7 linked regions of the Oryctolagus cuniculus genome follow. The protein of the gene in region 1 purifies or fractionates together with the protein of each later gene. This does not show direct contact. Links are inferred from orthologs where the notes say so. Each region holds a gene or a part of one and is shown on either strand. Other genes may lie near its edges. The genes, in order: PRMT1, ALYREF, SERBP1, EP300, HDAC1, KPNA2 and CHTOP.

The links.
Region 2: the proteins of PRMT1 (region 1) and ALYREF purify together in Homo sapiens (affinity purification with mass spectrometry; 3 studies listed by BioGRID and IntAct, with this or other methods). This does not show direct contact. The link is inferred for Oryctolagus cuniculus from reciprocal best matches to the Homo sapiens genes PRMT1 and ALYREF.
Region 3: the proteins of PRMT1 (region 1) and SERBP1 purify together in Homo sapiens (affinity purification with mass spectrometry; 3 studies listed by BioGRID and IntAct, with this or other methods). This does not show direct contact. The link is inferred for Oryctolagus cuniculus from reciprocal best matches to the Homo sapiens genes PRMT1 and SERBP1.
Region 4: the proteins of PRMT1 (region 1) and EP300 purify together in Homo sapiens (affinity purification with western blotting; 4 studies listed by BioGRID, with this or other methods). This does not show direct contact. The link is inferred for Oryctolagus cuniculus from reciprocal best matches to the Homo sapiens genes PRMT1 and EP300.
Region 5: the proteins of PRMT1 (region 1) and HDAC1 purify together in Homo sapiens (affinity purification with western blotting; 3 studies listed by BioGRID, with this or other methods). This does not show direct contact. The link is inferred for Oryctolagus cuniculus from reciprocal best matches to the Homo sapiens genes PRMT1 and HDAC1.
Region 6: the proteins of PRMT1 (region 1) and KPNA2 fractionate together in Homo sapiens (co-fractionation; 3 studies listed by BioGRID, with this or other methods). This does not show direct contact. The link is inferred for Oryctolagus cuniculus from reciprocal best matches to the Homo sapiens genes PRMT1 and KPNA2.
Region 7: the proteins of PRMT1 (region 1) and CHTOP purify together in Homo sapiens (affinity purification with western blotting; 7 studies listed by BioGRID and IntAct, with this or other methods). This does not show direct contact. The link is inferred for Oryctolagus cuniculus from reciprocal best matches to the Homo sapiens genes PRMT1 and CHTOP.

The regions. Positions count from the first base shown.
Region 1 is NC_091449.1:7,826,829-7,829,250, reverse strand, and holds part of PRMT1 (protein arginine N-methyltransferase 1), read left to right. Parts: intron 1-1,389; coding exon 1,390-1,545; intron 1,546-1,624; coding exon 1,625-1,688; intron 1,689-2,422. UniProt on the Homo sapiens protein: Arginine methyltransferase that methylates (mono and asymmetric dimethylation) the guanidino nitrogens of arginyl residues present in proteins such as ESR1, histone H2, H3 and H4, FMR1, ILF3, HNRNPA1, HNRNPD, NFATC2IP, SUPT5H, TAF15, EWS, HABP4, SERBP1, RBM15, FOXO1, CHTOP, MAP3K5/ASK1, MICU1 and NPRL2.
Region 2 is NC_091448.1:1,021,319-1,025,430, forward strand, and holds ALYREF (THO complex subunit 4), read left to right. Parts: upstream 1-1,312; 5' UTR 1,313-1,465; coding exon 1,466-1,702; intron 1,703-1,958; coding exon 1,959-2,090; intron 2,091-2,750; coding exon 2,751-2,898; intron 2,899-3,422; coding exon 3,423-3,486; intron 3,487-3,561; coding exon 3,562-3,733; intron 3,734-3,820; coding exon 3,821-3,835; 3' UTR 3,836-4,112. Other genes in the region: ANAPC11 (anaphase-promoting complex subunit 11), read right to left, coding at 930-1,038. UniProt on the Homo sapiens protein: Functions as an mRNA export adapter; component of the transcription/export (TREX) complex which is thought to couple mRNA transcription, processing and nuclear export, and specifically associates with spliced mRNA and not with unspliced pre-mRNA.
Region 3 is NC_091438.1:105,138,149-105,141,648, forward strand, and holds part of SERBP1 (SERPINE1 mRNA-binding protein 1), read left to right. Parts: intron 1-1,432; coding exon 1,433-1,583; intron 1,584-2,418; coding exon 2,419-2,559; intron 2,560-2,670; coding exon 2,671-2,760; intron 2,761-3,274; coding exon 3,275-3,394; intron 3,395-3,500. UniProt on the Homo sapiens protein: Ribosome-binding protein that promotes ribosome hibernation, a process during which ribosomes are stabilized in an inactive state and preserved from proteasomal degradation.
Region 4 is NC_091442.1:117,220,126-117,223,625, forward strand, and holds part of EP300 (histone acetyltransferase p300), read left to right. Parts: intron 1-349; coding exon 350-427; intron 428-548; coding exon 549-658; intron 659-2,047; coding exon 2,048-2,185; intron 2,186-2,524; coding exon 2,525-2,959; intron 2,960-3,500. UniProt on the Homo sapiens protein: Functions as a histone acetyltransferase and regulates transcription via chromatin remodeling. Acetylates all four core histones in nucleosomes. Histone acetylation gives an epigenetic tag for transcriptional activation.
Region 5 is NC_091438.1:140,146,351-140,148,539, reverse strand, and holds the end of HDAC1 (histone deacetylase 1), read left to right. Parts: intron 1-249; coding exon 250-402; intron 403-768; coding exon 769-817; intron 818-1,088; coding exon 1,089-1,116; 3' UTR 1,117-1,689; downstream 1,690-2,189. UniProt on the Homo sapiens protein: Histone deacetylase that catalyzes the deacetylation of lysine residues on the N-terminal part of the core histones (H2A, H2B, H3 and H4).
Region 6 is NC_091448.1:13,973,730-13,977,734, reverse strand, and holds the start of KPNA2 (importin subunit alpha-1), read right to left. Parts: upstream 2,801-4,005; 5' UTR 2,666-2,800; intron 2,428-2,665; exon of another isoform or gene 2,296-2,427; 5' UTR 2,052-2,295; coding exon 2,030-2,051; exon of another isoform or gene 1,918-2,029; intron 1,684-1,917; exon of another isoform or gene 1,665-1,683; intron 1,572-1,664; exon of another isoform or gene 1,414-1,571; intron 1,157-1,413; coding exon 1,059-1,156; intron 920-1,058; coding exon 782-919; intron 1-781.
Region 7 is NC_091438.1:44,665,075-44,668,574, reverse strand, and holds the end of CHTOP (chromatin target of PRMT1 protein), read left to right. Parts: intron 1-496; coding exon 497-634; intron 635-2,269; coding exon 2,270-2,475; 3' UTR 2,476-3,483; downstream 3,484-3,500. UniProt on the Homo sapiens protein: Plays an important role in the ligand-dependent activation of estrogen receptor target genes. May play a role in the silencing of fetal globin genes.

The sequences.
Region 1 (2,422 bases):
CCTCTACTGCGCCTGCGCAGCTGGTACTCCTGGGTCAGCTCGGCCCAGCCGTTGCCTTGGAGACCAAGCCTGGTGCTCTGTAGGACCCGAGCCTGGGTGGGCGCGCGCGCATGCGTGCCTGAGCCCGCCACGGAGGTCACGGCCTGCCGGGCCTGCCGGTCTCTGCCGCCCTCTAGTGACCGGCAGTGGGACTGCGCCCCAGCCCCCGTGGCTTCCGAGTCCGTTTCACCGAGAGACCATGCAGCTGGGGTGACATTCCAGGACGTTTCTCCCTTGGCTGCTTGCTTTTTTTTTTTTTTTTTTTTTTTGACAGGTAGAGTAGACAGAGACAGAGAGAAAGGTCTTCCTTCCCTAGGTTCATCCCCCAAACGGCCGGCGCTGTGCCGATCCAAAGCCAGGAGCTTCCTCCTGGTCTCCATGGGGTGCAGGGCCCAAGCACTTGGGCCATCCTCCACTGCACTCCCGGGCCACAGCAGAGAGCTGGCCTGGAAGAGGAGCAACCGGGACAGAATCCGGCGCCCCGACCGGGACTAGAACCCGGTGTGCCGGCGCCGCTAGGTGGAGGATTAGCCTAGTGAGCCGCGGCACCAGCCCTGCTTTTCTTATTATAAAATTGCGTTGTTCATATAGATGTATTTTTCTTAAATCTACATTTTAAAAATCTTTTAAAGTCTCTGGCGAAGGCAGAGAGACAGAGATGTCCCATCAAATGCTCCTAAGCGCCAGGGCTGGGCCAGGCTGACGCTGGGAGCCAGGAGCTCCACCCAGGTCTCCCACGAGTCACCTGCTACCTGCCTGGGCTGTGGGGGCGGAGCAGGGACGCCCCCAGGCGCGGCCGTGCTGTGGCAGACACCCACCCTGTGCTTATACTCTTTCCCCTGTTTTAATTCATCTTATTAATTTGAAAAGCAGAGTGACAGGGAAAGAAAGCCTCCGTTTGCTGGTTCACTCCCCACAGGCCAGGGCTGGGCCGGCCGAGACCAGGAGCCTGGACCCCACCCAGGTCTCCCACGTGGGAGGCGGGGCCCAAGCGCTTGCACCACCTTCGGCTGCCTCCCCAGACGCACTAGCCGGGAGCTGGACTGGAAGTGGAGCATCCGGGACTCGAACTGTGGTTGTGGGTCCCAGGTGGTGTTGGCTTGGCTCGCGCGCCAGGGCTGTGTGGTCTCCGTCATTCCAGTTCCTGTCCGTGCGCTGCTGGAGGGAGCCCTGCAGACCCCGGCTGAGCTGAGCTTCCTCCCCCGGTCTGATTTTTACAAGTAGGAAAACAGGTGCACACCTCCCGGTGTTGTTTCCAGGGCTCAGAGCCCGCAGTGGGGCCGCCCCCGGCCGTGCAGCCCGGCTGTGGGGGGCTGGCGCCCTCATGGTGGCCGCGTGCTCTCGCCCTAGGAGATGCTGAAAGACGAGGTGCGCACGCTCACGTACCGCAACTCCATGTTTCACAACCGGCACCTGTTCAAGGACAAGGTGGTGCTGGACGTGGGCTCGGGCACCGGCATCCTCTGCATGTTCGCCGCCAAGGCCGGGGCGCGCAAGGTCATCGGGGTGAGTCTGGGGCGTCTGGGCGGCGAGGGCGGCCAGGGCGGGGAGCTGCCGGGGGCTCACCCTTCTGTCTGGCCCCCAGATCGAGTGCTCCAGCATCTCTGATTACGCGGTGAAGATCGTCAAAGCCAACAAGCTAGACCACGGTGAGCCCCGGAGGAGGAGGGGTCTGTGGGGGCGGAGTGGGCGACCCCCAGTCCCACAGGGCACAGCTCAGAGCAGGACACGCTGGCCGCCTGCGGAGAGAGAAACTCAGAATTGCAGAGAGGGAGAGGGAGAGAGAGAGAGGTCCTCCATCCGCTGGTTCTCTCCCTGAATGGCCGCCATGGCCAGGGCAGGGCCAGGCCGCAGCCAGGAGCCAGGAGCTTCATCCAGGTCTCCCACGTGGGGCCATCTTCCACCACTTTCCCAGGCGCATTAGCAGGGAGCTGGATGGGAAGTGGAGCAGCCGGGACTTGAACCGGTGCCCGTGTGGGTGCTGGCGCTGCAGGCAGCGCTTTACCCGCTGCGCCACAGCTCGGGCCACGTGCACGGTTCTCATCGGCATCTTGTGCAAATCCATTGCCCTTTGCCCTTTGCTGTTTGGCTGCTGCAGATGCTGTTCTGTCCCCTGGCTGTGTCCTGCGCCAGGTGCCGCGGCTGTTTGTTTCTTTTTTGTAATGTGAAAGACACACACACACACACACACACACACACCCCGCTGGCTCCCTCCCCAGTGCCTGCAGCAGCTCGGGCAGGGCTCCCCCAGGCCTCCCACGGGGGCAGGGCCCGGCCTCGCGAGCCTGGGGGTGCCAGGAGGTTTCCCAGGTCCGAAGGCTTCCAGGAGCGGAGGCATTCTTTCAGCGGATTCATTGGAAAGGCTGAGGGAGAGAGAGGTCTG
Region 2 (4,112 bases), on another chromosome or scaffold:
CCAGCGCTGAGTGCCTGGACGCCCCTCACAGGCCCAGTGCCGGCCACGCGAGAAGACACGACAGGCAAGGCCACGGTTAGAGACACTGCCTTGGTTAGAGACGTGGGCTCGGGCAGCTTCCTCGGGACTTGCCGAGGTTAACAACGTTGCTCTGAAAGGTGCAAGCCCTGGCCTCGGGCTGTGTCCCGCCCTCCAGAGCAATCTAAACGCTGAATAACGCCAATTGCTAATCTCTGCTACCAGGAAAAGCCAATCAAAGGGCCGGCCTGGAGGGGATGACCCCGGGGCACGACAGAAGAGGGTGTGGAGAGAAATCCACTCCCAGAGCCCGGCACCCACCCACCGACCCAGTCCCGGCGGGCGATCGCTCCTGATGAGCTCTCTCTCCAGCCAGGGTGGAAGGAAAAACTAAACCACAGTTAGGGGCCCGCGCTGTGGCACAGCGGGTAAAGCCACCGCCTGCAGCGCCGGCATCCCGTATGGGCCCCGGTTCGAGTCCCGGCTGCTCCACTTCCCACCCAGCTCTCTGCTGTGGCCTGGGAACGCAGTGGAAGACGGCCCGAGTGCTTGGGCCCTGCACCCGCGTGGGAGACCCGGAGGAGGCTCCTGGCCCTGGGTCGGCGCAGCTCCGGCCGTTGCAGCCATGTGGGGGGTGAACCAGCGGATGGCAGACCTCTCTCCCCGCTCTGCTTCTCCGTAACGGATTCTCAAGTAAATAAGTAAATCCTAACAGGCGCCGCGAGCCGCTGCCACCGCGCCCCAGGCGAGGGCGGTGGGGGCTCCGCAGATTTCTCGGTGCAGGGGCCGACGTGCGGCCTCCTCCTCCCGTCCGGGCAGGGCAGCGGCGATGGCCCTGCGCCCCCGGGGGCACCCGGGCGGCGTTCCGGGCCGGCCTCGCGCTCTCCGCGACCGCCCTTCCGGGCACTCACAGTCGGGGCAGCAGCCGTTGAACGCCATCCGGCAGATGCCGCAGTTCTCGTCGTTGGCCACCCAGAGCCAGGTGGCCACGCCGTTCCAGCACTTGATCTTCACCCTCATGGCGCCGGGGCCTGCGGGCCGGGAGGGGCGCGCGTGAGCCGGCAGACGCCGCGACCCCCGGCCGCCGCCGCCCGCCGACCCCGCCCCTCGCCCGCCCGGCCCCGCCCCCCGCGGCCGCCCCAATCCCCGGCGCCCTCGCACCTTGTGCGACCTGACCGCGCGCCGCCCCGCCCTTCCGTTGGCGGCGCCCGCGTCCGCGCGGGAAGGTATAAAAACGACCGCGGCCGCGGCCGGCAGCTCCAGTCCGCGCCCGCCCGCTCCGCGCGCACTGCGCACGCGCCCCTCCGCCCCGCGCGCGCAGCCGCCGCCCGCCGCCAATCAGCGCCAGCGCCGAGGCCGCGGCGCCGGAAGTCCGCGCGCGCCGCCGGAAGTGACGCCGCGGCGTGCTGACGCGCGGGATCGAGCTGAGGCCGATTCGGCGCCCGCCATGGCCGACAAAATGGACATGTCTCTGGACGACATCATCAAACTGAACCGGAGCCAGCGGGGCGGCCGCGGCGGGGGCCGGGGCCGCGGCCGGGCCGGCTCCCAGGGCGGCCGCGGCGGCGGAGCGCAGGCGGCCGCGCGCGTGAGCCGCGGCGGCGGGCCCCTCCGGAACCGGCCGGCCATTGCCCGCGGCGCGGCCGGCGGCGGCGGCAGAAACCGGCCGGCGCCCTACAGCCGGGTGAGTGCCGGGCCGGCCGCCGCCGCGGGCGGCGGGGGCGAGCGGGGCCGGGGGTGCGCGCTGCGGGGGCCGGCGGCGCGGGGCGGGCCGGGCGGCGGCGCGGGCGAGGCCGCGCGGGGGAGCCGGCCGGGCGCCGGGGCCTCCTGGGGTCTTTGTGTGGCCGGGGCGCGCGGGGCGGCGGGAAGTGCGTGGGGGCGCGCGGGGCGGCCTGCGGGGAGGCTCACGCTCCGCCCCGCCGCGGCGCCTCCTCCCGCAGCCGAAGCAGCTTCCCGACAAGTGGCAGCACGACCTGTTCGACAGCGGCTTCGGGGCCGGCGCCGGCGTGGAGACGGGCGGGAAGCTGCTGGTGTCCAACCTGGACTTCGGCGTGTCGGACGCCGACATCCAGGTAAGCGGCCGGCCGGGGCTGGGCGGGGGGCCGAGGCGGGCCGGGCCGACCCCGCGAGCTGGCAGCCGGGCGGCCTCGGACCCGCGTGGGTGCAGCCTTTCTGGTTTCCCGCACTCTCTTTTGTCTTTTTTTCCCTTTTGCTCTGAGCCCAGGGGGGCTGGCTCTTGCCTGGGGCTGACTGGTAGGAGTCCGCCTTCGGACGGCCGGCGGACGCTGGGCCTGAGCGCTGGCTTTTTCTAAGGTGGTCTCTGGCGTCCACTGGAAGCCGCTCTCGGTGACCTCCTTCCCGCTGTGCCCGCGGCCGGCGTGTCCCACTCTGGTTCCCTCTCCGACGCCCAGCCTGCCTGGGGTCAGGCGGCTCAGCAGCACTTGGCTGCGGGCGTGGGGCGGAGAGGGAGGGGGAGCCAGCCTCTGCCGGGGGCGGGGGCGGGCCGGGCAGCTGCCCCCGCCGCCCTGGGCGCAGTCAGTTTGCTGGAAGTGACGGCAGACGCGGGCTTTGCGATTCCATCCCCTGCAGCGAGGCGCGGATACGCAGCGGCCCTGGGCCCCGGGCGCTCTCGGAAGCTGCTGTGTCTGCGGCCCGGCCCTTCCCCCGCACCCCGGGAGACGCCCCACGGCGCTGGGCCTCCGGGGCCTGGCTACAGCTCTCTGTCTGACCAGGAGCTGTTCGCGGAGTTCGGGACGCTGAAGAAGGCGGCCGTGCACTACGACCGCTCCGGCCGCAGCTTGGGCACGGCAGACGTGCACTTCGAGCGGAAGGCGGACGCGCTGAAGGCCATGAAGCAGTACAACGGCGTGCCCTTGGACGGTGAGTCCGGGACGGGCTCGCGGAGTGGGCGGCCCCGGCCCGTAGCAGCGGCTTGCCCTCTGGCTGAGGACACTTTGCATTTGCCCCTTTGTCTCTCTCTTCCATTCTGCCCCGCACATCGGGACCAACCTCTTGTGAACCCCCATCCAGCAAGTACACCCTCCCCTCAGCTCCTTCCGGAAGACTCACTTCTGTGAAGCCTTCTCAGAACCGCCATAGTACACCTCTGAGTGCGGGGCTGTAGTCGTAAAGACAAAGGTACCGGTTCTTCTTCGTCAGGCCGCCCACACCTGTCCGCCCACGAGCACCCCGGACACCACACCTGACCAAGCAGCCCGAGGATGAGGCGGTGTCGGCGGGGCCGCTGCCCTCGCCGGAGCCCCCGCCAGGCTCCAGGCCACCTCCCCGACGGGGGCGCTGGACACACGAAGGCCCTTGCCAGCGCCTGCATGGAGCGCAGGGCGTGGAGCCGCTGGGCGCTCCGAGCCGCTGGTTAGAACGGGCCCCTCTCGCTCTCCGCACAGGCCGCCCCATGAACATCCAGCTCGTCACGTCACAGATCGACACCCAGCGGAGACCGGCACAGAGGTGAGGCGCGGGCCGCGCGCGGGCCGGGCGGCCGTGGGGGCCTGCCAGTGTCTGAGCGAGCGCCGCTTCCCCCAGCATAAGCAGAGGCGGCGTGACCAGAACCCGCGGCCCCGGGGCCTTCGGCGGCGGCACCCGGAGAGGCGCGCGTGGCGGCAGCCGCGGCAGGGGCAGAGGCACCGGCAGGAGCGCCAGGCAGCAGCTGTCTGCAGAGGAGCTGGACGCCCAGCTGGACGCCTACAACGCCAGGGTGAGTCCCGCGGGGCCGGGAGCGCGGCTGGCCCGGCCGGCCCGGCCCGGCAGCCCCTGGTGAGCTCCCCTCTGTTGCCCTTTGCAGATGGACACCAGCTAAAGGAGGCGAGCGAGCAGAGCGGGACCGACACGGCGTCCCTGTGCCTGGCGGGAGGGCGGCCGGCGCTGTGTGGCCAAGGATGCGTTTGTTTCTTTTGTGTTTTAAAATAGGATTTAAGAACTCATGTAAAGGCTTTTTTTTTCTTTTTCTTTTTTTTTTAAATTCTGAAACAGACCTGTTTTGTACTGAGTTATTTTTGGGATAAATTTTACTGGTTGCTGTTGTGGAGAAGGTGGCGTTTCCACCTTTGCCATAATAAAATAGAGATGTGTGTAGA
Region 3 (3,500 bases), on another chromosome or scaffold:
TTTTAAATAATAGTCTGGAATCTAGTGCAGTTAGTGGGCTTGCAGGTATGTATTAATGTATCAGAAGAAACTTTTTTTAAAAAAAAATACCAATTATTTCGCGTTAGATGAGCCTATTTAAATTTTTCTAGATCCTGCAAGATAGTATTGGGTGGGGAAGCAAGTTGTTAATTGGGTGCATTTGGCTTGGATAGCCTGGGAATTGGTTCTATAGCTCCACCCCAATACATTATGCCTCTGATGACATTTATTTAAGTGCCTCAGTGTAAGGTCTGACATTTGTGGTCTATTCTGAGAGTTTATAGGGAATGAACCTTAACATTTTAATAACCAGATTGATAATTTAGTGTTTGGTAACAGGCTGCTAAATGATTGGGTATGCCCTGATTGTGTTCCACTTTCTTAGAAAGAACCCAAGAGAAATAACTTCAGATTTTGTAAAACCAATTTCTTAACTGCTTTTTGACTTTGTCAGAAATTGTGGTTTGGTAATTTCAGCATACCTGAAATTTCAGTCATGAATTTAGCCATCAATCTGTTTATCCTAAGGTCACCAATAATTCATGTTGGTTTGGACTTAAGGCATTAACAGGAAAAAAAACAGTATGGGGGTAGGAAATCAGTAACTAATTCAGATATCTTCCATAGTTTCTGATAATACTGCTTCTGTGTATAAATGTGGTTTTATAAAGATTTTTTGAAAACAAACATACGTGTTAGAGTAAACCTAAAAACAGACTTTCTCCATTCATATTGATAAATAAGCTATTTTCCTAGTGGTTACATGAGAATTTTTTTTTTTAGCTAGGTGTCTAGTGTAGATGTTTGTGCACGCTTTTCATGTATTAGATATTTACAGAAGATAGTACTTTTCTGGTTAAATAACTATTTTAGATGGTGGATTTTTTTAAATAACATTAAATACCATTTGTTTTCCTTTCAGTGTGTAATTTCATAGAATTATGGGTCTTTTTACTCAATTTTTTTTCAGATTATATAGACTAAAATAGCACGACTTTTTTTTTGGTTGATTTAATTGGTTACTTATGAATGACTGTTGGTATTATTTTCTTTGATACTTTAAAGCCAAAATGTATCTCTGGTCTACAGTTTCTTTAAATTATCAATAGGCTGACATCTTGAAAAAGGTGAGGCGGAATGACTGCTCAAATGACTTCAAGACAGTTATAGAGAATGCTTTAATGTGGGAAGATAACTTGGCAAACTAAATAGAAGTTCACAACAAACTTTGTTTTTAAGAATTTCCCTAAAATACTTTGTTACACATTAGGAATGGTTGGTGTTTGCTTTTTCCAATGGGAAATGCTAGTTAGTGGACTGAAAAAGTAGCACTGTGGTTTTTGGATAGCCTAGGACTAAACTTTTTGTATTGCAGAGATAATTTGCTTATACAGGTTATCTAATGTTCTAGGAATAAGACGTGTTGGGAGAAGACCTGATCAACAGCTTCAAGGTGAAGGGAAAATAATTGATAGAAGACCAGAAAGGCGACCACCTCGTGAAAGAAGATTTGAAAAGCCACTAGAAGAAAAGGGTGAAGGAGGAGAGTTTTCAGTTGATAGGTAAGATTTCTTTTTTAGAAAAAGTCTTTTCATGCTTTGTCAATGCATAGTCCTATATTAACACAAAGCTGTCACTTGGGCATCATTGCCAGGTAGCAGAGAGGCTGATCGCATTTACCAGTTTCTGAGGTATCTGAGTATATTGTTATCCTCAGACCTTTGGATAACAGTCCAGACTTAGATTTCTAATGAGGCAGTTTCAGTTGAATTGATGGCCACTGTCATTTCTTTGCTCTCCCCAGATTTTGACTTAAAAGAAAAATGCTCTTTAAATAGTAAAAAAGGTTATTCATTCTGCAGGTTAGTTGTGCTTAATTTAGTTTTTAAATGTATTGGAGAATAATCGTGTTACTTGATTATAATCAGTGAATAATAGTGAAAACTAGTAGTTATGCACTAGTAGTAATGCTTTGGAGCAGGGGTCGGGAATGGCCAACTTTTGGGCTGTGTGAAGTGTAAGAAATTATTCGGTTTGGTCTTGCCAAGGCAACTGCAAGTGGGACTTGAAATTCAGGAACTTTTGCAGGCTAATTTTTTTAAGTTGATAATTTTGTATGACCTGAGAGTGATGTTATAAACATACAAAAGGCCCTTGGCAGAAAAAAAGGTTCCCTACCCCTGTGAGGATTCCAAAAACAGTTTTCTTCTGAGAATGGGAGCTTCCTGGTTCTGATTTCCTTTATGTGTTTAGAAATAGACTAGAATTTTCTAAAGCATGTCTTTAACTGATGATTTATGAGCCAGTAAATATGTGTTTTTGAGTGCTTGAATAGATTTCTCTTACTCCTTTTTTTGGAAACCATGGAAATCTAAATTTTTAAATTTTGTATTGTAGGCCTATAATTGACCGACCTATCCGAGGCCGTGGTGGTCTAGGAAGAGGTCGAGGAGGCCGTGGACGTGGAATGGGCCGAGGAGATGGATTTGATTCTCGTGGCAAACGTGAATTTGACAGGCATAGTGGAAGTGATAGATCGTAAGTCTTAGATTGGTTTTTATTTTATGTTTATATTTTAATGCATTTATTTAATAAACAAAATTTGAATTTCTAGAACTAAAGAGTATTATGTTAACTCAGTTTTGTTAGTTCTTTTTCACATTACAGTGGTCTGAAGCACGAGGACAAACGTGGAGGTAGCGGATCTCACAACTGGGGAACTGTCAAAGATGAATTAACGTTGGTATTCCGATTTTTTTAATAAAATTGATCCTAAACTAATCTAGAGTCTTAACCTATACATTTATTAAATTTTGTTCCTGGAACAAGAATGGATGTTCTTATTTCAGAGATATTGTCTTAAAAGACAATGCCTTATGGGATAGATTTGGGTTACAGTATATCAAATGAGCAATTATTCTATACTTCTGTATACTTGTATATGTTACTAATTTTTTTTCATGTGAATATAAAGCTTTTCTTGATATTTTACATTGAAGTTACTTGAGGATTCTAATGATTTCCTTTGTGTCTGTAATAGTTACTTTTCCAGCTGCTTACATTCTGGTTCTTGTTAACTTGTGAATAAGCCTGTGAATCACCAGTAGTTGATGTTGTTTTCTCTTAGAGCTGTACTGGGGAATAAATTTAGTAGGAAAAGACAAAAGATTATGAAGTTTTTAATTGTTACGAAGAACTCTTTGGCTACACGTAAATGGATCTAGATGCTTTTCTTTTTCTTTTCTTTCCTTAGAGAGTCCCCAAAATACATTCAGAAACAAATATCTTATAATTGCAGTGACTTGGATCAATCAAATGTGACTGAGGAAACACCTGAAGGTGAAGAACATCCAGTGGCAGACACTGAAAATAAGTAAGTGGTTTTGATGTAGCAGTGATGCTTCAGCAGTGAACACAGTTTGGGATTTTACTAGTAAGATGTCATTGACTTCATGTGATTTGATGCATTTTTGACAAGA
Region 4 (3,500 bases), on another chromosome or scaffold:
ATGGACTGTGCTATTGGTGTGAGTGTAAATGCTGGTTTGTTCCCTTAAATGCATAGATTCGGTCTAGGTCTGTCATGTAGGTACAGGGGTCTAAGCACTTGGGCCCTCTTCCACTGCCCTCCCAGGTGCATTAGCAGGGAGCTGAATTGGAAGTGGAGCAGCCAGATCTCAAACCAGTGCCTATATGGGATGTCAGTGTCACAGGTGGCGGCTTTACTCACTACGCCGCAACACCGGTTCCCCAAGTGGCATCTAAACTACTACACAAAACACCTGCCCATATTTTGTTTTCCAGTAAAGGGCAGCCAATGCAGGGACTTCCTTAATTTATTTCTCTTTTCTGCCCTAGATGGTCCTCTCCCTGACCCAACTATGATCCGCGGCAGTGTGCCAAACCAGATGATGCCTCGGATAACACCACCATCTGGTAAATTTTATAACCGGGAAGAATGAGTTACTAGTTTTGATAAATGGTGACCAGATAGAGGAATAGTGCCTCTTATTCTCCAGAAGGGTGCTGAGATTTTATACTCTGCATGTATTCATAGGTTTGAATCAATTTGGCCAGATGAGTATGCCCCAGCCCCCTATTGGACCCCGGCAAACCTCTCCACTTCAGCACCATGGACAGTTGGCTCAGCCTGGAGCTCTAAACCCGGTTGGTTTGATTTCTTTATGTAATCTGTTTGGATTTTATAGGGGTTTTCTAAAAATTCTTGTTTTTGCTTCAAGAACAAAACTTCTCATACTTGCCTAGACACAAAATACAAGAGCTTGTTGTTACATTTTAATTGTTGTATTTTGCCCTTAATATAGATGATTATATGTATTTCAGAGATGAGACTAAATAGTTGCATTATGTTAAAGAGGTGGAGTGACAGGAATAATTATTACTAATGGGAAACAAATGCTGAAATCTCTTCTGCTTATCTCTTTCACTTAACAATAGTTAGAAATCCCACAGAAATAATTACTAAGGGACTTGGTGATGCAGTCTGAGGAAAGGGTGTTACAGTGTGCGAGGATATAATGTGATGGAAGTTCATGTGAAGAAGAGTAGAGTGTCTTGATTACAAACAAGTCAGTCTGTGTAAAATAAACACTAAAAAAGGCTCACATCCAAGCAAATACTATTCATAGTTGTAAAAATCATAGCATTAGAAAGTTGACAAAAAGCAGCCAGTACCCTCTCTTTGGAGTCCGCATGTCCAGTAGCCTCCCCACTTTTTTTCAGTTTACCTCTCCTCCATAATAATTACCTTCTCTTCCAGGCAGTGAACTGTGGATCTTTGATAAGAGCAATGGGGGAGCCATTGCCTGGTTCTAGAGACTGAAGTGGAGATGCTGAGCATACCCGGACTCTTAACCGACATTGGCCCAGCCCTCACCCTGTCCTGCTAGTTACCTGGCACCTCTGTTTCTTGAGCCTTTTTAGGGTTTTGCAGCATTGATACTTTTCACAGCTGGCAACATTCAGCAAGGAATCCTAGTTCTCATGTTAATCTATAAGGCAGATGCATTTCTTTAACTGGTTGAGATTTTTGCTTTTGGTAATCCAGATTTCCATCATCTGTTAAAGGAAACAATCCAAGAGCAATTGTGGGCCATGAATGGTGCTAGATTCAGCCACGTCCTGTAAGGGTTTTACTTTTCTTTTCCCACACATGGAATCTGAAAATTTTTACTGTTGCCATGCCACTTACAGTGAGCAAAGAGCCCAGGATGTTGTGCTTTGGTCCTTCACTTAACTTAGAGTGTTCAAAGAAATGGCTAGCTCTTTTCCTGTTAGTTCCAGATAGAGCGCTGTGTGTCCCCATCCTCCTGTAACTTAGAGAAGCCATGACATGAGACCATCCCCATGGTCTAGGCGTAAAAGTCAGTTCTTCACCACTTTTCTCCTCTCTCTCCCTGCCCCTCCCTTTACCTGTTTTCCTTTCTTCTCTTTCTCTGCCCAGTCAACCTGACAGCAGGGCCAAATTAATGGATGATTCCAATTGTGATAGAAGAATCGTAATGAAGCAGTTTGGTACTTTGTGTTTTTTTGCAGCCTATGGGCTATGGGCCTCGCATGCAGCCGCCTACCAGCCAGAGCCAGTTTCTTCCACAGTCTCAGTTCTCATCACAGGGAATGAATGTAGCAAATATGCCTTTGGCTCCACCCAGCGGTCAAGTACCAGTGTCTCAAGTATGTCTCACAAGGGGACCTTTGCCCTTATGGGGATGGGGGAGGGGGAGGGGATTTGTGAATCTTCTGTTAGGTTTTTGCCCGGAAGAGTGGCAGCAAATAGTGGGTGATGTTTAAAAATATGAACACTTTTGGATTTAGGGTATTCTGGATATGAAGAGATAATTATGTGTATAACAATGGCTTTGTTAAAAAAGTAACACATAATTTAAATTTGAGGGTTTTAACCCTGTGTTGTTATTTTACATTTAATTAGTTTGTGTCCTAAATGCCTATCTGCCTATGTAAATTTTCCTTCATTCTGTTTGAATTATCATCTTAATGACTTCATTTTAACAGGCACAAATATCTGGTTCTTCCTGCCCAGTAAACTCGCCTATAATGCCTCCAGGATCTCAAGGAAGCCACATGCACTGTCCCCCTCTGGCACAACCCCCTCTGCATCAGAATTCACCATCTCCTGTACCTAGTCGTACCCCGACCCCTCACCACACTCCTCCAAGCATAGGGGCCCAGCAGCCACCAGCAGCAGGGATCCCAGCCCCTGTCCCTACACCTCCTGCCATGCCGGCCGGGCCACAGCCCCAGGCTCTGCACCCTCCTCCGAGACAGACACCTACTCCGCCCACAACACAGCTGCCTCCCCAAGTGCAGCCGTCGCTCCCTGCTGCTCCTCCAGCCGACCAGCCCCAGCAGCCCCGCTCTCAGCAGAGTACAGCAGCCTCGGTCCCCACCCCGACGGTGCCACTGCTGCCTCCGCAGCCCGCCACTCCGGTAAGCGGAGGTTTGCATTTCAGTGGAACGGTTTCAGCGCTAATGTAATATTGTGTTACTTTTGTGCCATTTTTGATTCCATGATTCATCTCTTACTGTTGTCTCCATAAGTGGAATGGAATGTTTGATTAAGAACATTGCCCCCCCTACTCTTACTGCCTTCGATAGTACTTAACGTAGTAGGAACTCAAAGATTTTGTTTAGGTCTTTCATTATTGTATGCCATGTAGTATTCTGGGGCCTAAAAGCATAGAGCATAGCAAGAGGTAAGAGGCCCCTCTTGCTTCCTTAGTGTGACAGTTAGTGTACCTCCTGAATTTAACATATATTTAAAAACCCTTTTCTAACGTTTTAAGGTTCAGTACTCAAAGATTGAATCTCTGGCCCTAACAAAGGTTAACAAAGTCATGGTAAAGAGACAAGAAATACAGACCTAAATCTCTACAGCTTCCTTGTGAGAGGCTGATTATGTGTAGAGTAAAAATCTAAATTCCTGTCTAGTAGTTGAATCCTTAAAAATTGAACCTGTGTATTGTTAACA
Region 5 (2,189 bases), on another chromosome or scaffold:
ACAGACTCTTGGCCTCCGCCTTCTACTCAGCAGGCAGCTAGGGCTTCCCTCCGCCATTTCTGCCTGCCTGCTGAGAAACCTGGAAGTTCTAGGGCCTGCAGGAACAGGCTGGGAGTCAGTTCACTCCCTCACCTCCTTGTGGTCCCCATCCCTTGGTTGTCTCTGAGGACACACAGCGAAGCACTGAACATAGACCCTGGGATTAAAACCTCCTGCTCTCACCCAGACTTTCCATCTCCTGCCTCCTAGTCTGTTCCTCTGACAAACGAATTGCCTGTGAGGAGGAGTTTTCCGACTCCGATGAGGAGGGAGAGGGCGGGCGCAAGAATTCTTCCAACTTCAAGAAAGCCAAGAGAGTCAAAACAGAAGATGAAAAAGACAAAGATGCTGAAGAGAAGAAAGGTAGGTCTGGATGTCCAGCACTGGGGTCTCAGCCCACGCCCTGCCACATCTGCAGGGATCAGGGGCTCCCAGAAGCAGCAGGGCCCACAATGCAGTGGCTCTCACATACCACCCAAGCGCTTTTCCCAGCACTCACCCCAGTTTCCCAGGGGGCTGCCTCCGCCCACCAAGCTCTGGCTCAGGCAGGCTGGAAAACCGGTCCAACCTGTCTGTTTTCAGCAGGGCTCACTGGGAGGGCCTGGGATGGGCTTTTCTCTTGTTCTAAGTCCAGTAAGCCATAGTGCTGGGAGGGGGTTTTGGGGTAAAGACTGTATGGGTCTCTCCAGAGGGGCTGCCCTTGATCATCCCTGCACTCTTATGTTCTAGAAGTCGCAGAAGAGGAGAAAACCAAGGAGGAGAAGCCAGAAGCCAAAGGGTGAGGAAGGAGCTGTCTGCCTTGGTGTTGGAGCATCAGCCCCTTTGTCCCACTGCTCTGAGAGGGAAGGCACAGGGACAGCTGGTCCCACTTACAAAGGCCTCTTTCAGGGACCAGTCTGTCTGTCTCTGCAGCTCTAGGCAGAGCTAAGAAGCCCCAGCCCCCGGCAGTCACCTGGGCAGCCTGGGCCTGAGGAAGTCATTGTATCCCCACTCTTGCCCCAAGGCCTCTGGGGTGGGTTATCTCATGCCAGTCTCTGCTTTCTCCACAGGGTCAAAGAGGAGGTCAAGCTGGCCTGAGCAGACTTCTCCAGATCTGGCTCCTGGCCAGCTTTCCCACCTTTCTCCCTTAACCCCTCAAGATTTTATATTTTCTATTTCTGTGTATTTATATAAAAATATATTAAATATAAATATCCCTGAGGACTAGACAAGAACCAAGGCCCTGAGGCCAGGGTAGCCAAGCTGGGTAAACTCATAGCCGCTGCCCTGCCAGCCATCCCTCCCCAGTTCGATTTTAAACCACGAAGGGCTCCAGGTGTGGGTAGAAGGGAGCTACAAGACACGCCGGGGTGTGTCCCTAGCAGGTATGGAAAGGTGCCCCCTGTTGACCATTCTAGGAGGGTAGGGGTGGCTGGGTCTTCAGGGACTTCCTGTTCTTTCCAGCCCCTAAGGTAACGTTAGCCATTTTTAGGTTGGTTCTGTTCTCGTCATACCGTCCCGCTGGCCTCAGGTGAGCCCCGAAACTAATGCTGCCCGCCCTCGGTCTTCCCCAGCTCTGCAGGTGGAGGCTGGCGGCCTAGCTTCCTTTTTGAGATACTATTTTCATTTTTGTGCGACTCTTTGTAATAAAATGGTACCTTTCTATACCCACCTGAGCCTCTGTTTCCTGGCACTCCCTGGGTTGATGTCAGCTCTGAACTCCCTGCGTTCTGGTGTACGGGCAGGGCAGCCCTACGACGACAAAGCCCGTAAACTTACCTGCCTTCTAGTTTGCTCCTGGCTGGAGGTTAACTAGTGTCCACAGATCTCACCCCATCCCCAGAAGACCAGTCATTAAAGCACCACTAAAGGGACAACATTTATTCCTTTTCCAAAGGTTACAGTAAAACCAGGTGGAAGAGAATGGTTTTAGCAATTAGAAAAAAAAAGTACAAATCTGGGGTTTGGCCATTAAAAGTTATTTACAACAATGGGAGAAAAAGACAACAAGAAGTTGTTTCACATTACAGACTTCCCCCACCCCAAAGCCTAATACTTGCTTACCAAGTCAAAAAAGAGACACAGTTGATTCACAAGCTGGAGGTTTGAACTTGAGTAAGACATTTATAAAAACCCAGACAGGGGCAGTGTCCTCCCCAGCCCAGGTGCCA
Region 6 (4,005 bases), on another chromosome or scaffold:
TTAAAAGCAAACAATCACATACACTGTCCCGGGTCTACTCAGGGTCTAGGCATCACTGAGGTCTCAGGGACATGAATGGAGCCGTCACCTCCCATGACAGCAATGGCCTCCGGAAGACCTGCACGAGGCTCCTCCCGAGGGGCTGCTCTGAAACACGCATGTCCGTCCGTGGAGAATTTCCCTTCCATCGCAGACCAGCGGGAAGCAGCTAACGTGCCATGACATTCCTTCCTACCGACAGAAACCTCTCAGCGTTCACGTCCATATTTTCAAGCTCTTTCAGGAGTTTGCCAAGTTTCACAAAAGCTTCTGCTAAAACTGTCACTGTCAATTTCTTGGAGGTTCGTTTCCCCCTATAAGTTCCCTTTTCTTGCCTCTTCTTCAGCTATATACTCATGTACCAATTCCGTTACCACTTCGTCAGATCCCATGATGCTGAAGTCCACTGTTGACCAAAACGTTATATGGTATGATTGTGTTTCGGGAAAAAAGTATATGGTACAGAATGAAGCCAAAGATAAATTACAAGCTACTGTTAAGATCTCAGGAGGGAAAAGATGTGAACAAATAAAAGAAATGGAGAACACCAGAAGAGGCAGAAACCCATCAGGAAGTGGTTGGCTCTGGACGCGCCAGCCAACAGCGGAGCGGTCGGGTCAAGACAGCCCCGCAGCCGGCACGCGAAGGGGAGTCAGAAATCTTCACAGAGGTGACCATTAAAGCCCAACACCAGGAACGGAACTGAGATGTCAGAAACACGCCGAGCCGCTGCAGAACCTACCTGGTTGTTGCGGTTTTCCTGCAGCGGCGAAGTCGCATCGTCGGGAAAGGAGCTCACGTTCCTCCTCTTCAGCATCTGGTCATCCTTCTTGGCCTTCCTCAGCTCCACGTTCACTTCTATTCGGCGCCGTCTCATTTCCTTGAGACAAGACACACATCCCCTCACCTATCCGACTTTGTTGCAAAAAAAAAAAAAAAAAGGAAAAAGCTTCCCGTCCCCCCCCTTCCCACCCCAGCTCCTGTCTTGCAGCTCCCACGGGGAAGCAGCAGGTACTCACGGTGCTGTCCTTCCCCTTGTTCTTGAATCTGTGGAGCCGGGCGGCCGGTGAGTTGGCATTCTCATTGGTGGACATGGCGACGAGACCGAAGGAATCAGCTGGAAGGCAGGAAGGGCAACACTCCGGTTTCCCAGTCTGCTTTGTCCAACGGAACCCCAAGGGCAGGAAGCCCAGCAACCCCCACCCTGCAGGAGGAACGCCAGGCCGTCGCTCCTACAACCCCCCCCCCTCCGAGGGTCCAAGCCCCCCTGGAGCAGCACTGCCCACCCTTTGCCCGGCACCACACTGACAAGGCCAAAGGGGGAATGATCCACTGCTTAACACAACTGTCCAAAACACTATCGCTTCCACATACAGAGGGATCGTTCACTCTATCCCATCTCGCGTCTCTGGACGCTCACGCCCCTTCCCCAGCGCCCCCGTCCCGGGCAGGGAGGCTCCGGGCCAGGCCCCCGACAGCCCACCACGGACGAGGGCAGCGGCAGTGAACGCAGACCCTCGGGGGCCAGCAGGGACCCCCGCCGCGCTCGCGGGCAGGCAAACCACCACCCCGGGCACCCCGACCCCGCCGAGCCTGCCCCGGCGTTCCCCGCGAACGCCGCCCACCCGCAGCGCGGGGCCGCGCCTCGGCGGCGCGCACACGTCTACACTGCCAGAGCCTGGACTCGCGGGGGCCGCGGCCGGGGCGACCCCGCACCGCCGGAACCTCCGTGTTCACTCGGCCCCAACCGCCACCTCCGCCCCCGCCCCAGGGACGACGCGGCGGGGCCCGCCGAGGCGAGGCCGGCGCCCCGGCCCTTCCGCCGGCCTCTCGCCCTCCAGCCCGCCGCGCTCCGGCTTTCGCCGCCGCCTCCCGAACCTCGGCGCCCCGGAGCCCCAGCTTCCGCGCCGCCCACTAAGCCGCCGCGACACTCAACGACGCCCCGAAGGCCTCATCCGCGAGGGAGGCCACAGCCGGGCCCAGCGCGTACCCGCGGCCTCCCCTCCCGCCATCCGCAAGCCGAGCGCGGCCTCCCGGGCAGCCGTTACCGCCCGCGCCGGGCTGCGGCCTCACGCTGTACCTGCACAGCCGACGCAGGCTTCCCCAGGAGGCGGTGCGTGTCCACAGACTGCCGGTCAGCCGCCCTGCAAACGTCTACCGCGGATCAGCCCTGAGACGGTGTGCCTCGTGCAGCCGGCCGGCGCGATTTAAATTTCCCGGTGGCTCCGCGTTCCGATTGGCCAGTTCGAGCCTAAGCTTTGTACCCATTGGTGGATTTAAAAAACACGTTAGAAGGGGAGGAGGGTCAGAGGGCCTAGAAGCGGAGTATAGCCTCGCGAGATGAAGGAGCGGTCGGGCGATATCCCAGAGCGCCTTGCAGGCCGGAGTGGGAGGACTACAGATCCCGGCATGCCGCGCGATGGGGCGGCTCCCAGCCCCGTCTGTCAACCTCCACTGACTGCGCGTTTCCGCGCATTGCTCCTTGGTCGTTTTTTTGTTTGTTCGTTTTTGAGCGGCTGGGTTAAGCAAATACCGAGAAAATGAAAAAACTCTGCTGTGACCTTGAGGATCCAATGTATCAATAAATTCTTACAATTTTTTTTAAAAAGTTCTCAAGACATCATACCTAAAACAGTTGTGTGAAGGGCATTTCGCGTCGTTTTGAGGGTAGAACCGGAGGAACCGGGCGAGGCTTTCGGCCGCGGACGGAGCGGGGAGTAAAGCACCCTGCCGTCGGAATTTTTGGGTCTTTTTAATTGCGTCATAAGAGGCTGTAGAAGCTTCGGCGATGGTAACAAACGGTTTATGATGTCTGCTTCTCCCAACACGTTTTACAAATTTTTAATGTCAAAGAATTGCTAATCTTCACCCAGATTTGCCAGATGCTGACATTTTGCGATATTTACAGGGAAACACCCGTTTTTCTGTGCATGTGCGTGTATATTTGGAACCATTTGAAAGTTTCAAAAAGCATGTCCTACCCTAACATTTTAGAATGCGTCTCCCGGGGGAGAGAGCTTATCTTTCGTTGATACAATCACACAGCAGTCATCCAATTCAGGAAAACTGAACTCTCCTGGTATTACTTATCATATTCTGTGTTCAGCTTTGCCAGTTGTCCCAGGAACGGTCTATGTTGTATTTAATGCATTTCCAAATAAAATCTGCAGTTTTTGTCATGTTCTTTCTTTTTAACCAGTAAGGATGGTTGTTAGCATCAGGATTATGAGCCATTTGTTTTCTTTCTGCTATTCTTCTGTGTTCTAAAGGAAACTTGCATTGATCCTTTTACTATAAAATAATTTCAAACTGAACTTTGCCAATTCTTGCAGGAACCGACGCCTGCTCCCTTGTAGCACAGCAGCCAAGGGGCTCACAGGAGCTGCTCTTACTCCCACTCGGCGTATCCCCATGCCCCTCCGTGCAAGAATGTGGAAGGAATTCCTCCCGACCCAATCAGCGCAGGGCCTCCTCTTGGCTGCCGGGAATGGTTCGGGGCCGGCACATGACCTAAATTCATCCAGTTGGGAAGCCTATGCCTTTTGTTTAATTCTTGGAGGTGGGAAAGCAGCTCTGATCTGAATAGAAGGCTGGGAGTCCTGAGACTCTGAATAACCAAGTTGTAAAGAAGCTGAGCTCTGGGCAGCAGCCTGCCTCACCTCCGCAGGTACGCAGGACCCAATGCTGTTACTTCAGTTCCTTTCGCTTGAAAATACCGATTATGAGATAGGAATTTGATGCAGCACAGCGGAGTGCCGGGTTTGACTTCTGGATACGCCACTTCCGAACCAGCTTCTTGCTGATGTACACCATGGCAGGCAGAGGTGAAGGTTCAAGTACATTGCGCTGTCACACATGGCTTCAATTTGGCCCAGCCCTGGCTGTTAACTGGTGTTTGGGAAGTAAACCAGTGGTTGGAAGTGCTCTCTCACATTCTCTCTCTCTCTGTTCCTGACATTCAAACCC
Region 7 (3,500 bases), on another chromosome or scaffold:
CTAGAAATAAGTCAAATGTAAGAACTTTGTTGGTCTTTTGACCTATATCTTAACCAACCATCTCTGCTCCTGGTGCTGGTGAAAAACTACTGTATCTGGAAGAGAGGACAAGTTGACCCATAGCATTTAACTTGTATCTTATGTTTTGGGCAGTATTATACTGCCATGTATAGTTTTTCATTCCTACAAGAATGTATTAAGAGCAGGAACCGTTTATTTTAAATCTATAATGCTAGGCATCTATCTGATTATTCAGTAAATATGTATTAAATGTATGTACTTACTACCAACTTCTTCCAAAAATGGATTTGTGGTCAGACTTGTTGAATTGATTAAAGAGCAGCTTTTTAATCTGCTCACATTGTGTGTAGTTTGCCCCACCCAACCTAAAAATTAACTCAATTACTCATTTAACCCTCACTGCCTTCCTTTGGTCAGAATCTACTTTGTCTCTCTTGGATTTACCTGCATATACATTGTGTGCCTCCTCTCCAAGGTCAAAACCTGCTCCGAGGTGGACGAGCCGTAGCTCCCCGAATGGGCTTAAGAAGAGGTGGTGTTCGAGGTCGTGGAGGTCCTGGGAGAGGGGGCCTAGGGCGTGGAGCTATGGGTCGTGGCGGAATCGGTGGTAGAGGTTAGTCAGCTACCAACTTCAGAGAGTAGCTCCCTTTTATTTTCCTCCCTTAAAAACTCAGAGCCACCTTTCTGCACAGCTTCAAGTCGTAGACAGGCTTGTATGTTTGTCTTGTTTTGTTTTTTGAAACTGGCTTATTTTCCAAATTCACATGCTGGTAGTGCAAAAATCTGTCATTTTTCCAAGAACCAGTCAGGTGTGTATTAGCCAGATTATATGTAGTCTTCCAGACTCTTGCAGATGTAAATTTTATTATAAAAATGACTAAATAGTTTGGGATCTTTTCTGTCTCTGCTGAATCATCACCACACACACACACCCCTCATAGCTCAAAACACCAGCTTGAGTCAGATAAGAATAGAGAAGAGGGAGATGTGCAAATATGAAGGCAGAGTGAGGTAGACTTGGAGCCGGGCACTGTCTCTGAAGCCAAGTTCAGCATGCCTGTGGGGAACCCTAGATGCCTCTTTCTGATCAAGGTGGACAGTAAGATGATACTCTTGTCAGTGAACTCACTGGCTCTTGATGATTATACCTTTGAGAAACTTGGTGATACTTGTTTTGTGACCTCATGACCCAGATTGGAAAAGCTTAGTGGTGGTGATGGTGTTACTGCCAAATCTCATGGGAGCTTTCTGACTTAGCTTAATGAAACACTCCCAACAACACCTGTAGGGGAAGGGGAGACCTGTTCTTATGGTCCCTTGTTTATATTCCTTTGGTCCTTTTAAAGTGTGTGGTGGGTCTTCCATAATTTATGACCATGAAGCTGCCAAGGAATATTAACTGTAGGAAATCTGATAACCAAGGGCTTGTTTGCTTTCCCATTATGTGCTACTTGGCTTATTGAGTGAATTGCAAAGGAGTTTGAGTTTCGGGATGAAATACCATGTTTCTAGAATTATCTTGATTTGGTTTCTGAGAGACATCACAGGGGTGGCAGAGACTAAAGTAGCTTTTCAAAAAAGCGAGTGTGCTTTGTTAAGTGAATTGAAACCACCTCTCAAATAGCCACATTGTCCTAAGGTGACTAGAATCAGAGGTAGACGGGGCTAGGACCATTCAAAATGTTTTTTTCCATCTTCTCACATTATTCCTGTGTCAAAATAACTCCTCAGTCTCCTGACACATGGGGAAGTCAGCTTGTTAGACCTCACTAAGTTTAAAGAGAGATGAGATCATTTTCCTGAAGGGTCTCCAGTAAAGCTTCATTTGGAAACTATCTGCCTTCACACCCTTGATTCTCTGTGCCCTTTCACTTTCTTTCTGTCTCGCTATATGGGGTTATCTCTAATGGATTTCAGTAATGAACTGATAGTGAGGTCTCAAACTTTAGGTTATTCTTTGTCTTAGGAAAGATTAATTTTTTTAATTATTATAATTGGCAGCTATTTTCCCTTTGATCGGATAATATTTTAAGTAGCATTTAGAGATGAGCATGTAATAAGGAATTCATTATGTGTGCTTTCCATGTGTTGCTTTCTATCCAGTGTGTGTGTGTTTCCAGATTTCTCCTTTACCCTGCCCTTCAGCTTTTCTCAGCTAGGCTCCACTACTCTTAGGGGCATTTACTATAGCATTCATTAAGCCTAATTGTAACTCTTGTTTTTGTTTTTGTTTTTTTCCTCGGGCCAGGTCGGGGTATGATAGGTCGGGGAAGAGGGGGCTTTGGAGGCCGAGGCCGAGGCCGTGGACGAGGGAGAGGTGCCCTTACTCGCCCCGTATTGACGAAGGAGCAGCTGGACAACCAGTTGGATGCATACATGTCGAAAACTAAAGGACACCTGGATGCCGAGTTGGATGCCTACATGGCGCAGACAGATCCTGAAACCAATGATTGAAGCCTGCCCACCGTTGTGTGAGAGACTCTTACTAAAATCACCACATCTGTAAATAACCTTGAGATAACAGTTGAAAAGAAACCTGATTGATGCTGGAAGGACCTATCATAATAGGCTATGGACTTAACCTACCACCAGTTGTGCATTTAGTGTGTTCCTTTGACTTTTTGATACTGTGTTGTATGAAACCCTTTTTCTCTTGATTTGGTTGGGCTTTGCTTTTTTTCTTTGTTGTTGTTTCCTTCGCAGACTTCTCTTTGAACATGAATGTGTTGGCCTTACGGCTAGGATACCCTCTTCCTACCTCTGCCTCCCTTCACCTGCCATATACTCTAATCTTCATTTCCTCGGTTCATCTGTGTTCCCTCACAAAAAAGTCCTAGAAAGAGCCACTGTTCCTCCCTAATGCCTAGGTTTCTGAGATTAAGTTCTGTATAATAACCTCTTAGAAGTGTTCAGAACATCTGGAGCTCAGAAATGTGTTGATGATGCAGTATACAGTGTAGTAAATTGGGAACACTGACATTGCCAAGGGCCAAAAAACAGTTTATAGATGGTAGAAGCTCAAGTTTGATTGAAGTTGCTACCATGTGCAGTAACACGTGTGGTAACTAGGCTTGCTGGGTTGGGTAAGATCCTTTCTACCCACAAATGAGATTTATACACTCTCCTCTTGGCTTTGTATTTCCCAAGGGATTGAGCTGGTTTAACTCCTTCATATAGAAGAAGAAAGCCATTTGGTTTGGCCAGTGCGTCAGAAGGTACGGGGATGGAAGAGCAGTGGCAGACTAATTGCTGGGAGGATCAGAAAATAATACCTGGGCTGAAAAGCAATTAGTCTCGTGTTTATTCCAAACCAGTCTTGGGTTTCTCCACTCACTGATTCTGTCTGAACTCCTCTCATTTCCCTTGAACGTTTAAGTAATTTCAACCATAGTCTGTCAACTGTTCCAGGTTCTGTGAAATCTTGTGTATTTCTGATTCATTATAACAAACTGTTCTCTCAAATCCAGCCAGGATTTTCT